Saccharomyces cerevisiae S288C: one gene and its partners. Changing the gene in region 2 together with the main gene of any one other region gives a genetic interaction. Each region holds a gene or a part of one and is shown on either strand. Other genes may lie near its edges.

Region 1 (6,411 bases), on a different chromosome or scaffold from region 2:
TAAATAAAAAAAAATTTAGAGATTCTTAATTAAGTCTAAGAACATCCTCCCACACGCCAGGAGTGGTTAATGTTCAAGATTGGTATTAGTTATACACGGTAACCAACAACGTTGGTAAGGTCTTTTTCTTCTATACATGAATTTTAAGATCAAGCATATATTTTAGGCTTGCATCTTGTAATGAACTAACTTTCATAAATAGCTTTTCTTTTTTGTATGAGGTATAAGATGAAAAATGTTAAACATGATACAGGATTTAATATAAAATGGACCAAAATAAGGAGCAATAACGAGATTCACCCCAATGGGTGAGATGAGAAACGCCAAGGTAGTGAAATATTTTTGTGCAACAATTTCAAAGATAAGATCGGTGTTCTCCCGCAGTAGTCCACTTCAGTCGCATGCATGGCTGTTTGATGAGAAATAAAATGAGATATTCAAAATCTCATCAGAAAGAGTTGAGTACTGGGACGACACATATCAGCAACGAGACATAATCGTCAACTGTTTCCCTTTAGATGATTTTCCAAAGTGTGGAAATCACTTGCCATCTTATCTAACATGTGACAATGAATGTAGTTTTCTTTAACATTGGTGAAAAATAACTTGGCAATAGTAACATATTTCAGAGATAATTGGTACTTTTCGGCAAATCCTTGCCCCTTTCCACCATTTTTATGTTTTGATGAATGATTTTCCCCGTAACGTAAAAGATTCAAAGTAGAAACAGTTTGATGCGAATCATTTAAGCCGCTGAAGTTAATACCTTCTAGGCCGGTATCCGATAGGAAATGTGCTGAACGAGGCAAGTCTGTCACTGCCCTGTCCCCATTATCAAAGGAAAATTCATTTCGAATAGGATCCTCCATATTCAAAAAAGAGGTATCGTTAAAAGAGTTAACTAGGATTTCATTAATAAACATTGCAAGCCCTTCAACATTGATCTTTTTGGCTAACTTAGTCTTAACAGCTGCACTTGCACCATTATGGTGTTCATTTGCGGATAAACCAGGGACAAGCATACCATTATCTTTATTTATAAATTGTTGCGTAAATACAACATCAGGAAATCCAGAAAACTCTTGCGGATACAATCTTGAAAGTGTGGGAAGTAAAATAGAATTCGCAAGGCTTCTCAACTCAATAAAAATTCTCAGTAACTTAAAATTTGGAGTTGCTTCAAAATCCAATAAAAATTTGATAATTAGGATGAAGCAATAGTAATAGCCTTGTAAATTGAAGACAGAAAGCGCTTGATTATTCAGGTGGATCCTTGGCAGCTCTGGAGAATTCATTCTTTGGGAGCAATCACTTTCTTCTTCTACGTATAAAGACGAAATATTACGGATTGAAAAGTTCAACGCTACTAAAAATTCACACAATACTTCAACTGAATAATTCTTCAAAAAATTCAACCTCACAGAGTTCAAAAAGGAATCATATATCTTTGCTATTTGTCCTTTTCTAACCTTCTCAGTAAACGAGCGATCAATCTGTTTGATGAATCTCATTGACATTAAATTATTTTTCAAAATTATGGTGTCATCAATTAAGATCGCAATATTTTTATTGGTTGCTGCCATATTATCATTGCCATAGGAAGAAGTGTCAAGACTCCTCTCTAGCCTTTTCGTATCGATTCGATCCAAAAACACATGTGATTTGGTTCCTTTTCTTAAATCGTATTCATAATAAATCATAGATGACCCTAAAAATTCTGGTATTGAGTGTAAGTGTCCATACGTGAAACTGTAATAAAAGTTTCTAAAATCATAAAAATTTTGCTTTTGCACAACATGCCCATTACATATTATCGATTCACTGGCCCATTTTGACTCATTGTCGGGAATATAAATGGTTTCAACATCTTTTTCCTTTATAGACAAATCGAATTTAATATGGAAGAAACATTTCAAGAACTGACAAAAATCATAAGCCATTAAGGTGCATCTAATTTTTGACTCAAAAATGATGTATTGAAGAGGAGAACCAAATGTTAAAGGTTCATTGTTATTATTGATACTCTTCTCAGAATTTGCAGAAATTGTCGGTAAACAGTTTGATCTGATCGTTGAACATAATGCGGACAATTGCCTTTTCATCAAAGAGGAGTCAATTTTCTCCAAATAATCAGCAACTAGAGCGAACATGAAGCTCAATATTAGGGATTGCATCAACCAAATGTTCTGATAACTGTCATTTACTGTTGTACTGCGACACCTTCTTTTAGTCTCCAAAAAAGAATGTAGAATTCTTCTACTCATCTCATACAATTCTATTGTTTGAGATTTGTAACCGAACTTATGCAAAGAACCAAATGTGGCCATAAATAAGGGTAAACAAACGATTTTCGAAATGGACAAGATTTGATAGTGCTCGTAATCATATTCTTTATCTGTCCCTTGACTTAATCGATCAAACAACTGCGCGTTTTCAGCGTCATCATACCCATCCTCATTAGTATATCGTTGCAAGCTATCCAAATCCAAATCAAGCAAGCTTGGGTGAATAATAGGGAAATGGGGAAGGAAATTATTCTTGAAAAGATCTAAATATTCGTTCAATTCACTCACAGCTGGCATTAACAATTCTTTGGACAGCAAGTTTGGATTAGAGTCCATGACACTCTCACTACTATCATGACTGAACTTTTCATAGTATCTAAGCACTTTAATGCACATATTTCTCATTGGTTCATTAAATAGCTTTGATTCTATGGAATGCGATGGCTGATTGTTGTTCACAGTGGAGGCCGGCAGAGCTCTTGATATTTTCGATAACGTTAAACAATCTAACCCATAAAAAGTATAGTTGCCGCTATCTGGCTTTTCTTTCCTGTTTGACGTTGATAAAAAGTCTTCCAGGGATCGTTTAGACTCTTCTCCTTTCAAATATTGACTGAATATGGCTTGAACATCTCTGGTCATATTACATAGCTTATCCAGATCATCTTCGCGATTGGAAGGATGATCGAGTCCGAAAGAAATCAACATATCGTCATTGGTCCCCTCTTTATTCTTATAAATTAACTTATGAGGAGAAATTGGAGAGTTTGATAGGTTCAAATGGGAAAGGTCAATCTCATTTGACGTGGCGGTAGCACTTACGCTATCATCATGTAAAAGTTCAAATTCTTTTAAAACGGCAGTGGTCTCTAACAAATCATTACCTAAAGTATCATTATCCAGCAGTTCTTGAAAATCGACGAAATCAGGTTGGTTGTCTGATACCTTATTGTTATTGCTATTATTATCTATAGCAACAGTCCAAGAGGAGGACCTTGAATCCTTCAAATGATGTATAGTCGATTTAAAATCTGGGACGATTAATTTAGTGTCGTTTAATTCAGAGTTCATTGGAGAAGTTTCATCACTTTCAGATACTGAAAACAAATGATCATTATAGGCTTTTATCCAGTACGACGACGACAATAAGTCTGCGTCATTAAATGAAGCGTTCTTAGAATTCGTGTTAGCGCCGACATATGCGCGGGTTGGTGAGCCGGAAGAATATGTGTAGTTATTTGCTGATTCGGGCAATTTATAATCCAAATTCATTGTTGATCCAGAAGAATCAGAACGGTTTAATGCTATATTGAAATTGGAATCTAGATTTAGGTTTAAATCTAGATTCATATTCAGGTCAAACGAAGAGTCAAGTTCAGGATTCTTCAAGTCAAGTGGAACTAATTCAGGCGTAGAAAATTTAACACGATCCTTTGGATGTTGTTCTAGCGAAGATTGGTCGGGCAAAGCATAGCTGGATGCTGATTGTGCGCTAAATGAAGCCCTGCGCGTCAGTTTTTTCAAGTACTTACGTTTAACATTAGCTTCAGGGCTTGCTTTTCTTCTTGTATTGGCAGTAGTGCGATTCAAAAAATTACCATTATCTGGAGTACCATAGGTTGGAGTTTGAAACTTGACTGAGGATGCAGAATTTTTCCGAGCTTTAGTTATAGTTCTCGACACTTTCTTGGTATGGGAAATCGTTTCCCCTAAATTACCACTATGGATTTTTTGAGCATGCCTGATCAGTAAGTCCCTCCTAGTAAAGCATCTGTTGCAGAGGCCACAGGGATAAGGTTTTTCATTTGTATGCGATCTGTAATGTCTTTTCAAGTGCTCTTGTCTTGCGAACGCTCTCGTACAAACCTCGCAAACAAATGACCTTAGTTTCCCACTGGGGGTTCTACCATTAAGCCTTAAATTTTCGGGCAACTTGTCCAGTTGCTTGTTAATCTTGGAGTTCATATTATTATTTGTGGTAATGATCTTTCCATCTGGCGTCCTCTGTATCACAGAGAAAGTGTTTGAGTTTTCTCTGGAAGCTGATGATGACATTAATAAAATCGGTGAATCATCCGTTTCCATTTCTATTTCTTGTTTCTCATTATTGAAGCCGTTAGAAAAGCACGAATTCAAGTCAACAACGGGAAAGCCTGAACAATCGTTTGGTTTTTCTACGTTAGCCATAGTAATAGAGTATGATTATTTTTTTTATATTTTTTTTTTTTGGAAAACAAAATTCTTATAGTAAAGTAAGGAATAGTAGCAGAATATTTTTCTGAAGTGTTTATAATAAAGGGAGAACCGGGAAAGTAGCAAAATGATTGGTTAATTTATGCAAATCAATCTTATACTTCCAACGAATAAGAGGGAGTATATCAAAACAGAGTAACAATAAACTTTTGCTATGACACCTTTTCTTTCTTTCAAAGATAAAAGAATAAGGCTTTTCTATAGTAGTCGAGCAAATGTTGGAATAAGGAGGTATGGAATTTTGAAAATAGCCTGAGAAATTCAGATCAATGATATATAACTGTTGTCTTCAAAAGGTCTTCAAGGGAAGAAAATTTCCGATCGGAAGTCCAGAATAAATACCACAAGTATAGCACAATAAACAACAGCACAACAACAATAATAACAACACCTGTAGCGAAAACGTTTTCCTATTTTTAAGGCGTTGTTCTTTGAAAACCTGTGGCGAAGTAAAACATGAAAACAAATGAAAACACCGCCAAACCAAGAAAAGAACAACGAAAAAATATCACTTTTATTTAGTTCACAACGGCTAACTATCGACGTTCACCCTTCCTCAGTCTATCACATCGTCCTTAGCTCGAACAACGCCGATAGGCATCAAGTTACATTGAGCTTTACTGCACGTTCCCGCATGATGCCATTGACTAGGGCCCGCCCTTTCGGCAATCATTCTAGCATGTTCCGCATGTTCCTTGACGCCATGGTCATCCTTGCCGTCGCCTCCGGCGTTTCCCTTCCCCCTCAGCTGCCAGGGCGCCGTTCACACAACGCAAGCACACCCGGCGCCAAAAAACCGGGGAAAGACCACGGCGCTATGGTTTCGGAGTTTCCCGCCAATGGCGTTATAACTCCAGTTTATTTTCCTCTTCGTTGGTAAATTCCGGGGAGGCCGTCGGCGCCGGGCCGCAAAAGTAGGACGGGCGATCGGAGCCGCGCGGATGCCGTACAGAACTACATGATGTATTGCATTCTATCTATGCCAATAGTGGTATGTAAATATTTACGCATACTTTTATTGAAACATGAGAACAATATATCTTATAATACGGCACCAAAGCCGAATGTCAATTTAATAGAACGCACGTAGTATTCTTCAAAATTAGCGCGCACGCGATCTTCCTCGCCAACGGGTATGCCAGTCCACTTCACCTGTAATTTGGTTTCATGGAATTCTTGCGACTCATGGAAAGTCATTTCGATAGTAGAGTTGAAAGGGGCAGACCAATCCTTGAGTTTCCAGTGGAAAACAAGTTTCTTGTCCTTTTCGCATGAAACCAACTCGCTGATCACGTTGCCGCCAAAGAGCTCGAATTTTTCTTTGGTCTCCAGCTTCGGTCCGCTGTTGAAAAATTGTGCTGATCTGGTCCAGGCCAATATGCGTTGCTTATCAAGGAACGTTTCGTAGAGCTCGGAGGAAGGCACATTAAAAGTTGGTTCTAAATAAATAGATGTACTATTGCCGCTTCCGTTTTGGGGGACTTTGTTGGTGCTGGAGACTGGTGCTGAAGTTGAAGTAGAAGAGGGAAGTGCATTCTTTTTTGGCTTTGAAGCGGAGTCCTTGATTTCGGTAAAGCTACTTTTTTGGTTACCTCTTGTGTAGTTAGATTTCACCTGAGATTCGGGCACCTGAATGTCATTACCATGGGTGGCCAGCAAATCCTTGCCAAATTGTTGGAAAATTTGTCTCAACTTGGGCAATAACTCGGATCTAATTAGTGGCTTGGCTTCACTCAATTCGCTAGTCTCCTTAAATATAGATATGTCAAATTGATAGCTTGAGGCCTCGCTATCGAAGGCAACTTCAGGAACGTTAATGCTACCCTCGAATGGCAATGCCGATCCGTCCTTAGAGTCCACGTGTCCCTCTATT
Region 2 (3,338 bases):
TTAACAAAACGAGAACAAGTAGTAAGTGAACTATATATTTATACATAAGATATATGCAAAATGTGACATTACGGTTTGTAAAAGGTAGTAACTCCGTGGCGACAAGAATCTCAAAGGATTGGTTAAAAGATAGCACCTCGAGCAGTAGTACTACCGTATATCATCATTGCCTCCATCATCACACTTTATTATGACAATGAGGACTAATCATTAACACCGACCCATCAAATTTGGGCCCTTCGTCACAATTAAGGTCCGTTTGCGGTTTACCGGGACTAGGCTGGTACTGTCATACGATGTGGTATCTGGTAGACATGGGCGGTTAATAATTCATGGCTCATTCGCCAACGTCCATTTCTCCGGGCGGGCGCTACTAAAAAAATAATGCTCCATTCAACCGAGATGATTCTCTAGTCTCCCCTCGGGTTCATCGAAAAACGCCCCTCTTTTCCATTAAACCGAGGGTGCTGTCAAAATTTCTTACTAAATCACGTGACAAGAGGCGGACTGGAAATCAATCGCCTTTTGCTCTTACCTGCAAGTGAGTTTAAATATCCGCAATAATTATGCTAAAGTTTCTTTTTTACAGTTCGTTGATGTACTGATATGGTTTTATGTAAATTAACAAATACAAAACATAGTCGTTATGGAATAGATATACCTAGTGAAAGCCAAGAGAAAATGAATGAAAGAAGTTTAAGCTTCAACCATTTCTCTTAATCTTCTGATGGTAGATCTAACAGTAGCGGCAGCTGCAGTAGAAACAGTATAAGCACCACCGGCAACGGTCTTCTTACAACAGGAACAAGTCCAAATACCAGCTGCACCTCTCTTAACAGTCTTCTTACCACAGAAGGAACAGTCATATCTGGCATGTTGTTGAATTTCAAGCTTCTTAACTTGTCTTCTCAATGATGAACCATAACGGACACCGTATTTACCTGTGATACCGACCTTCTTTGTTCTCTTAGCCCTGCAAAAAAAAAAAATAAGATGGAAATATTTGTTAGTAAACTAAAAACTTGCCTTATAACTGATTCGATGTAGTCATATTGAGTTGTGGTGGACCTACAGTGAGATTGCCCCAAAAATGCGCTACCATCTATCCTGGCTTATCATTCTCCTCAACTGCGATATTTCGTGGTTTATCAACCCCAGCACTTTCTATTTAATTCAAATCTACCACGCATCTCCACTAACTCCAATATAAGAACATTTAGTCATCCAATTCCTCTATTATATGCATACATTTTTTTGTTTGATTATCTATGCTGTTTATAATATCGTATATAGTTAATGAATAACCCTACAACACGAAGGGCAGTAATATATTCTGATTCTCAGTTGAAATTTCAAATTTTTCAAGCTGGTCTTACTCGGCAGGTAGGAACTTCCCAGTGGGTCTGAGTTTTCTCTCCGGAAGGTATTTATCATTATGCACGACAAGTGCGATTCAATCGAAAGATTATAAATTTCGCGATGAACAACATCTGATAAAAAAAAAATTAAAAAACAATAATCTAAATGATATGTATGGGTTAAAAAGGATGTATGGATGGAGGGTTGGCATAAAAATGAAAGGCAGAAGATGGGCGGCTAAAAAGGTATAGAGATCGTACGTCACCGTCACAAAAATCACTCATAGAATGCACTATCATCCTTACAATACCATACCAGCCGCAAGAAAAAAAGAAAAAAAAATCAATTCATATCATATATTATCTATATCATGCTGTTCTTTCCGCCACGGCCCGTATGGTGTTGGAGTAATTTGATTAATGTATTCCCTCACGGAGGTTCAGTAGATATTCTCAATAAAAGAAGGGTGGGGGTGTATTTGCTGCAAGAATGCGGATGTCAAAAGAACCTCAAGAAGTCCACTAAATGGCAGTAAATGCCGCGCTTACATTTTTAGCGACTGCCGAAAACGTACGGCTAACTGCTGTACCTCAAAAGCATAAAATTGTGATGTTGATTAAAACAAGTAGGCGTTGCATATATAGACGTGGGTAGGAAAAAAGTGAGCGCCAACACTATATAAGAAACCGTTTCTGGATACACCCTCGTGAAGAAATAGGGTCCTGCATTGATATTTTCAAACTTATATAATTAATAATAATTAATAGCGCTTAGTTTAAAGAATTTGAACTATTTTTTGGCCAACTTGGAGAAAGAATGTGTACTTGATTATTGGCATTCCGCGTATTTACGCGGGGATAAAGAGAAAACAAAGGAGAAAAGGAATTTCCTCAATTCCGATGACTAGTACCTCCGAGCAAGCAATCATCGGCGAACAGATGTAAAAAGAGAGTTTTAAACACTGAGTTTTATTTATCAAGAACGTACCCGTACAGCTATCGTTTCAGGCAGATAACAAAAATGTGATTGAAATTAAAGTAGTTTTGTTTGGAATCATGATAATTAAATATTTCATTAATTTGAAGTTACTAAGTAATGAAGCTAGCCCGAGAAACGCAAATGCTCAGAGAGCCCGGCAGTAATTGTGTACACAGAACTATACAAGCCGCTGGATAAAGCTTATTCGTTGATGTCATCCGCTATTACCTCTCCTAATCATGGCTGCAGGAAATCTTTTCTCTCAACATCTTGTACCACTTTAAAATGCGGTAGCAAAGGACAAACGGTAAAACGTTACACTGCCACGGTGTTATAGCAGCCGCAAAGTGAGTAAGCATGTGATGGTACCTTCAATACTGCGTTGGAGAAAAAAAGTGCGTATCTTTGTTTACTTTTCGTCTTCGAGGGGAAGGATCAAAGGCGCATGCGTGCCCGCAGGAGGGGGCGCCAGGATTGGGGGTAGATACAACATCAAGGAAGCGTCATGGTGGCTTCTTGGGTCTTAAATACGCAGGGAATTAAAGTTTCATTTATGTGCCTTTACATGCACTCAAAAACCTTCTTAGTTACAGGAAAAGGTAAAGATACGATAAGAAAAGCCTTTGAACTGCCCATCCTGCATCCTAACACAGATCTAACTCACTATTCGGGTAAGGAAGTGTCATGCATGTCTGCAAAGGGACTAGAAGAAAGTTACATGATTACATAAGCAAAAAATCGGAATTACAGACACACCATTTTTTATCCTGCGGCCCCATTTCCGTCTTCGAGGGAAAGGATCAAAGGCGCTTAGCCCAATCTTGATGATTCACCGGGGAAGAAAGGAATTACAGAACCCCCAGCCACGTAACACAGCCAATTAGTTTTCTATATCGGGAAACGTGATTGATTGCGCAATTTTGGCTGCATCAGAATACATCGATGAGATCTAGAGCACCCTTTGATGGTTTAAGTCCGGTTTAAAGTTAGTAGATCAATGA
Region 3 (3,117 bases), on a different chromosome or scaffold from region 2:
ATTATCCAAAAAGGTCTTGTTAGAGCTTGTATTGTTAGCAGGGCCCGTAGTAGTGGAATTATTCATATTTGCTCTTGAACGTTTTCTAGTGCCAATTTGAATATTCTGTGACATAACTAAGGTACGCGGAAGATAAAGCAATAATGAAGAAGAGCAGTATGCGTGTAGATTAGTCTTTGTTGTGCTAAATCTTCGACTTGGTAAATACTATGTTTCTTTCACTCTTTTTCTGTCTCCCACTTTGTTTCCTTTTTCTTTTTCTTTTTTTTTTTTGGGTTTGCTTGCTATCTGGCGCAGTATTTCGTGAATATAATATCTATTTAGTTAGCGTAAGCACGAGGAGTTACTGCACTGTTTCCTTTCACTTGGTGGTGAGGTAACAATACTTTGTAAATCCGGTAGATCTGGGAAGTAAATACTAAACTTTATTCTAATATAGGAACTTCATAATATAAAATCCAACGCACGATGCTAGAGATAAAAAAAGAGGGTGGGAGATGTGGAGCCAGGATTCAAATCGAAAATCGTAATCGGAAACTAAACCAGCATTGCAACCGGGCCATAAGCCATATCGTTAAGCACGCCAAAGCTTTTTCCCTTCGCTGTGTGTTTCCTCGCAACTTTAACTCCGGCCACTCACTAAGCCAAGGCGTGAGGAGAGAGACTAAAGCTTTGTGGAAAACCGCCCAATCACGCTGACCCCTTTGGCCCGTTTGCCGCCCCCTAGAAAAAAAAGAAACGGACGGGCCTGGGCCCGCACAGCCTCGAGCAGGGTCACTTCGCGCCATATCGGCGGCTATTTCAAAAAAAGAAGTTCTTTACCAGTTGTTGTAGAAAGTATGATATTACCAACAGCGTCTAGCTTTTATTCGATATTCCGATGTGGGCGGCTATTTATTATCGGTGGCGTCTTTTATGGTTTTACCGTTGTTGCCTGGAGCATCCTCAGGAAGACCTAAATGTGACCATTCATCGTAGTCCATCAATTGGTGGTCCATCCTGCACCGCAGGTAGTCCTTTGCCAGTAGTCTACAATTCATTGCATTTTCGTTCTGCACAAGCTGCATACATTTGAGATACTCTTGCATGTACTTGGTGCATTCGCCGTCGTGGTCTAGCGGGAACGAACCTCTCTCGGGTGGAGTAGGTCTCAATGCGCTCAGCGAGCTTCCTGGGTTCCCTGACATTGGATTCTTGTGTTATGTTTCGTAAAAGATACTTTGTGTGTAGTGGGTGCGTTTGCTTGTTTTCTTGAAGTATAGAAGAAGGAAAGAACGGAAGAAAAAATTTTTTTCCCTCTTGTTCGCTTTATTTGGATTTTCTCGTTTCTCAACTCCGCGAATTTGAGCCCTTTTCTTAGACCCCGGAGAGAAGATGCAGAGATGTAGTAATAAAAGCTTTTTATCCAAAAAGCTTTTAAGCTGTTGTTTTAAAAAAGGTTAAATGGGCGCTTTAGAGATCGGGTAGTGGGCAAAGCCTGCGATAAGAAAAGAGGGAGCGTGCTACTTGACCGGGAGCAGCAAAATGGGCGGCCCGAGCCTTAGATCATACTCATCGCCGATAAGAGTCAGCTTGGTAATAGAACCGCTGGTGCGTAAATGAGGCATAGAACTTATTATCGTCTTAAAAAACTGCCCAAAAAAATATTTTCCAGGTTTCTTGAAGAGTAATCTTGTTATGTAATTTTTTTTTGCCTGTGGATTGTATAAGGGACCAGAGGCGGTCAAAAACGCAAAAAGCGGCATGGTAGGCGAAAATACTAGGACGATTACTACTCAACTGACGCGTCAACTTAATATTGTCCTGGTACATAACCGAACCATCCCAGATGCGCTGTAAGTACTGTTTAAATGTATTTTAATATGTGCATAGAGCGTGTAAATTATGGCGAGCTATGGTTTCCGAATTGTCGGACTGCTCATAGCCCTTGCTTTCGGAATATTAGAAGTGGTCTGGCGGTAAAGAAAGTGTGACATATGTCAGACGTTGAGACTTATATGTGTAAAGCTAAATATAATAATTCAGTTAAAATAAAAGTGGGTGACAGGAAAAAATTAGAAATGTTGAAAATTTTTTTACCTTCACTCGCTACATAAAAACGTTGGAGGAGACTCCTTCATGGTCTTAATCTCTTTGGATCTCTTGGGAACAATGAAGCTCTTCTGATATTTTTCAAATCCAAATAGAACATAACAACTCTTTCCAAACCGATACCACCACCGGCGTGTGGAGGACACCCATAGCTGAAGCCGTCACAGTAGTCCTTTAGACCTGGGTCCTCAGGAGACAAACCATGGGCTTTCATCCTTTCTTGTAATAGAGCATGGTCGTGGATACGTTGTGCACCGGACAAGATTTCTTCACCCCTCATGAAGAAATCATACGAGTTAGAATACTTAGGGTTGGCTGGGTCGGGCATTGTGTAGAAGGGACGGATCTCCAAGGGGAACTTGTCTAGGATGTAAAAGTCGGTGTCGTATTTGTCGCGAACCAACTTACCCAAGAACTTTTCATTTTCGGTACTCAAGTCTTCAAAATCACCAATTTCCTTACCGGCAGCTCTTAGCATTTCAATACCTTCTTTGTATGTTAGACGAACCATCTTACCATCTTTAGGTAACTTGAATTCTTCAACAGGGTATTGCTTACGTACCAACTCAATTTCATGAGCAAATCTCTTGGGCAATTCACTGAAAATAAACACAAACAACTCACTCAACGTGTCCAAAACTTCGTGGTAATGTTCTTCGAAAGCCATTTCCATGTCCAAACCAGTAAACTCGGTCATGTGACGGTGGGTGTTGGAGTTTTCAGCCCTGAACACAGGCCCGATTTCGTAAACTCTTTCAAAGTCGGCCACAATCAATTGTTGCTTGTTAAATTGTGGAGATTGAGCTAGGTAGGCCTTCCCTTTGAAGTATGTCACCTCAAACACACTGGAACCACCTTCACTTGGTGCACCCAACAGTTTTGGTGTGTGTACTTCGGTAAATTTCTTTGTGGCCAAATATTCTCTGAACAACTCACAAACACCAGCTTGAATCCTGAAAATAGCTTGGTTGGTGACGGTTCTCAAGTCAATGACACGGTAGTCTAATCTGGTGTCCAAGTTGACCA
Region 4 (4,416 bases), 330 kb from region 2:
TGCCTTTAAGGCGATCTCAAAGTCATTAGCCTGCTTCAGAACCTGTTTTGTCTTTGTTGATTGCTCTTCACCAGAAGATTGATTACCCTTTGATCCAAATGAACCAAATACTCTAAACATCTTCTACTATCTTTCGTTTTGGCGCACTGTTTGCCCTTCCTCCTATTATGTTCTATTTCTTTCTATCAGGTAATTCCTATACCGGTAACAAGACGCTTATATATACAATTCGCTATATATACTGATAGAAATATGCAAAAGGAAGAATGAGTGAAAAGAGCATTGGAAAATAAATTTAGTAATACAAAGGTGGGGAGAATATGAATTAAATAATCCGAGGGACGAAATTAGAAAATAGCCCAAGATAGGGGGTGGGGGTACCGCTGGAAAGACAAAGACTATAAGCATGAAATGAAAAACGACCATTATGCTCGAGAGATCTGGAGACAAATAAAGCAAAAGGTCCGACGAACAAAATCCGCGGAACGGAAAAACTTCTAAAAGTGAAGGAAAATTGAGAAAAAAAAAAAAAAAGATAATATTTTCATTTCTTTCATTCGTCCTTTCGTTGTATACATAAGGGTCATTGTTAACTCATCGTCATTCATTATTAACACAGGAAGAGAACTTCTGCAAATAATGCCAGGCATCATATTCTGACATTTCTGAGATCGCGTTTGATGTTTTTCAATTCCTGTCGGACTGAAAGCTTTGATGGCTTATCTAGAGGGTTATTAGCGTTGTGATAGTGATCGGAAGTGGCAGGCTTCACGTTAATTGTACCGAGAACATAGCCGTCAACGCTATTCCAAACTCTCTGGTCCAGCTCATTCGTTAGCTTTCGGCCATAGAGACATTGATCAACCAGCCACATGCCCACTATAAACGATTTTCTGTCTAAGGTACCGTCTTTTCTTGTGTCGACCATATTGTATATTTGCACTAGAAGATCCCTGGGTAGGTTTGATCGATACCATATATCTTTTACGACTAAGTTAAGCATCAGGCCGTCTTGCGGTAAATTTAAGGGCTGTAAGTGAGACTCGTCGTCTTCATTCGCGAGAGAGGGCCACCACGGCAGCAAGCGCAAATACGAGTATCTGTTTGATACCCACATAGACTCGTATCTTTTTCTTTCTTGTTCGGTAATAAACCCGAGATCTCTATGAGATTTCCACGGTTTATCTTCATTGAATTTGTGAGAACTTGTATGATGGTGCGTGTGTAAGTGATGAGAATTCGGGTTATGGAGCTGATGGTGATGATGATGGTGATGAGGGAACGGAAGGACAGAGGTACTACTCCCAACTACAGCTGCTGTTGTTTTCAACCCCTTCTTTATCTTAGAGCGACGACTTTTCTTCTTCTTGTCCTTGATTTCCATCACATTAGAATCTTCATCTGTGTCTGAGTCTGATGATACAGACTTTCTGTCGTAGGGAAAAGTTTCATCATTGTCTGTAATTGCGTACTTCCCGCGCCTCATAGTTGTCTTTAACTTTACATTTTGCTGCGTGTTTATGATTGCCCTACCATTCTGCGTTTGGTCCGAATACACACGTGATAAGTTTTCTTGCTGCTGCTCAGGTGATCGTAAAAGCCTGTGCTTGAACCTGGGTTTACTTGTCTTCCTTTGGCTTCGCGGTATTAGGTCGGGTAAAGTGCCTTTATATATTATATTTCCTCCATTGAGTTTATTCATTGCCGTATAGTCTGACTCTTGCTGCCGCTGTGAGGGGTCCGTTAGAGAAGCCTTTGCTGAGGCTTTGGACGCAAGACTATAAGAAGACATGGAAGGTTCAGGAGGAAATGCCTCATCGGTGCTTTTTTCTCTATAAGAAGTTTCTTCTCCATCGGAACTTATGGAACACGATGATGACAGCGAGGTAGAGTAGGATACTTGTGGCGAAATAGATCGTGAACGAACATTATTATCATATGACGGCGGAGGTATCCTCATTCTGTTCAATTGCAGCTCATTTTTCAAGGCTGAAGGAGCACGTGGCGGTTTTGTTTCAGTATCCATAACTGGATCCCGGCTGCCGACACCGGATGATCTGTTACTAAATGAATTTGTGTGGGCTAGGTATGCAGCTGTCTCTGCAGCTGCTATACTACTTGGCGAATTTGACGCTTTATTCCTTACATCATAATGGATTGTCTGCAGAGGAGTCGTCGGTACGGAAAAGGCTTCAGAATGGCCTGGAAGCGTTTCCCTAGAGTATTGATGATTTATACTTCTCGGTTCCGGTTGTCTCATCCTCGGCAAAGAAGGCTCAGATTTCACGACAGGCGCAGATTCCACCTTTAGATGTCTCGGCCTCTCTGCGCTACCGGCATTGCCATTGGGGTGGGCATATCTCTTGAAAGTAATCTGAGCAGCAGTTAAAGAATCTTGGAGAGCTTCCTTCGGCAATTCCACCACGGAGAGATTTCCGGAATGCTTTTTTTTGGGGAAATGCATTTATACAAACGTCAGGGCGTGTATTCTCCGGCACTAAATCGACTCTTCCTTGTATAGGCCATCCCGCACTCTTCATCAATTACTAAAAAGGAACCAAATACGTCACTTTATAACCAATTTATTGATGTCGAACGGAGAGCAACTCCCTTGCGCCATCTATCGCGCGCCGTCCCAAAAAGAAAAAAAGCAAAAAAAACATAATTTGAAGAAGGTTCTCTCAGCGGCTAACCTTTCTTCATTCTCAATTATAACAATAATGATACAAATACTGGCCCTGATCAATAGTTTGTCATGACAGCCGTTAAGACCAAACCATATTGCTGTAGTTCATCTCATCCCACTGTTTCATTCATCACCCAAAAATTCATCGCTCCTTTCCCCAATACATATAACACCTTTTTCCTTTTTTAAATTAGTGACGCCTCTGTGAGAGGGTTCAGTACCCATTCCTCCATGGCAACAACTCTCATTTCTCAACGCCTTCACCTATCACTCTTCACTGTCATTTCTTTTTGCTTTGTTATTCTGCTAAATGTCTTTCATTGGTTTTCCTTTATTAAAACATTCTCTGGAGGATTTGCAGTTTCGGAAAAAAGAAATTTAATCCGATATGGTCCAATTTGGGAAAAAAAAAAGACTTGGCTAGTTCTCCTTTTCGTCTTTTAAGAATAGGTACTAATTACGCTACAAGCAGTCTGTGAGTATTGAGAGAGACTAAAAAGGGCAAATTAGTCTGTAGACTTCGCTATTCATTACCGTTAGTCCTTTATTTTTTTAACGTTGAAACATCTTTTTTTTTTTTCCAGCCTTTCTCATTGTAGATCAGTCATTTTTCAAGATGCCCATGGACCAATCTATCTCATCTCCATTGTTTCCCATGGAAAAGGATATTGATATCCCCCTCGATGCTACACCCTTGGCACAAAGTTCATCATTACAGCTTTTTATTCATTTAGCTGAACCAGTTGTTTTCCTCCAAGGCTTTGACCCTCAGAAGACGGAATATCCCTCGGTTGTTCTTCGGGGCTGTCTAGTGGTAAGAATACTGAAACCCACAAAGCTGAAAAGCATAAGTCTTTCGTTCAAAGGATATTCTAGAACTGAATGGCCTGAAGGTATCCCTCCTAAAAGACAAGAATTCGTGGAAATCAAAGATATTGTAGACCATACATGGGCTCTATATCCGCCAACTGAACAGAAGAGCAAGAAAAAGATGGATGCTTCCGCACCTAATGAGAGCAACAATGCAGCTAATAATTTTTTGACGAAGGAAAGTGGTGCCTCTCTTTATAGAACACTGTCTGATAATGAAACTATAACAAGCAGAAAAAATTCTATATCAGGTTTGTCCTCGTTGAACTTGTCACCTCTAGGTGCACCTGGAAATTCCTCTGTCAACGTAAAAGACAGAGAAAGTAGACAAAGATCTAGATCTTCGTCAGTCACTTCTTCCAATGGACCATCAAGAAACCTATCCCCGATAAATTTATTGAAGAGAGCCACGTCTCCTTCCGTGTCTCACCACAACTATAAACCTACGACCACTTCCATCTTTTCCGACTTGTTGAATAACACCTTTACCCATAATGATGCAGCATCGCATCATGGTCATCATATCCCCACCAGTAGCAATCATCTGGCAATGACAAGCAACAACTTCACCAGCGGGTCTGGAGGAGAATTTTTTGTCTTTCAACCAGGCGACTATATTTATGCTTTCGAAGAACTAATTCCTCAAGCATACCCAGAATCTATTAAAGCTGATTTCGGATTTGTGGAATACTTCTTATTTGCCAGTATAGAGAGACCTGGTGCCTTTAAATCAAACATTAGCGCCCGGCAAGTGGTTAATATCGTACGGACACAGGCTCATAATTCTGTGGAAGAAAGTGAGCCGATTATCATATCTAGAGATTGGGAAAACCAATTATATTATGATATCGTTATAGCAT

The links.
Region 1: mutations in RPL43B (region 2) and ADR1 together harm fitness less than expected from each alone (positive genetic interaction), as found in Saccharomyces cerevisiae (one large-scale study listed by BioGRID).
Region 3: mutations in RPL43B (region 2) and COX19 together harm fitness more than expected from each alone (negative genetic interaction), as found in Saccharomyces cerevisiae (one large-scale study listed by BioGRID).
Region 4: mutations in RPL43B (region 2) and TAX4 together harm fitness more than expected from each alone (negative genetic interaction), as found in Saccharomyces cerevisiae (one large-scale study listed by BioGRID).

What each region holds. Positions count from the first base shown.
Region 1 is NC_001136.10:893,096-899,506, reverse strand, and holds ADR1 (DNA-binding transcription factor ADR1), read right to left. Parts: upstream 4,473-6,411; coding exon 501-4,472; downstream 1-500. Other genes in the region: YDR215C (uncharacterized protein), read left to right, coding at 5,005-5,418; AHA1 (Aha1p), read right to left, coding at 5,580-6,411. UniProt on the Saccharomyces cerevisiae protein: Required for transcriptional activation of glucose-repressible alcohol dehydrogenase (ADH2).
Region 2 is NC_001142.9:606,217-609,554, reverse strand, and holds RPL43B (60S ribosomal protein eL43 RPL43B), read right to left. Parts: upstream 1,251-3,338; coding exon 1,249-1,250; intron 974-1,248; coding exon 697-973; downstream 1-696.
Region 3 is NC_001144.5:107,786-110,902, forward strand, and holds COX19 (Cox19p), read right to left. Parts: upstream 1,188-3,117; coding exon 891-1,187; downstream 1-890. Other genes in the region: serine/threonine protein kinase KNS1, read right to left, coding at 1-114; aspartate--tRNA ligase DPS1, read right to left, coding at 2,117-3,117. UniProt on the Saccharomyces cerevisiae protein: Required for the assembly of mitochondrial cytochrome c oxidase.
Region 4 is NC_001142.9:276,889-281,304, reverse strand, and holds TAX4 (Tax4p), read right to left. Parts: upstream 2,465-4,416; coding exon 650-2,464; downstream 1-649. Other genes in the region: IML2 (Iml2p), read right to left, coding at 1-120; ALY2 (Aly2p), read left to right, coding at 3,303-4,416. UniProt on the Saccharomyces cerevisiae protein: With IRS4, acts as a positive regulator of INP51 activity and phosphatidylinositol 4,5-bisphosphate turnover. Negatively regulates signaling through the cell integrity pathway, including the MAP kinase SLT2.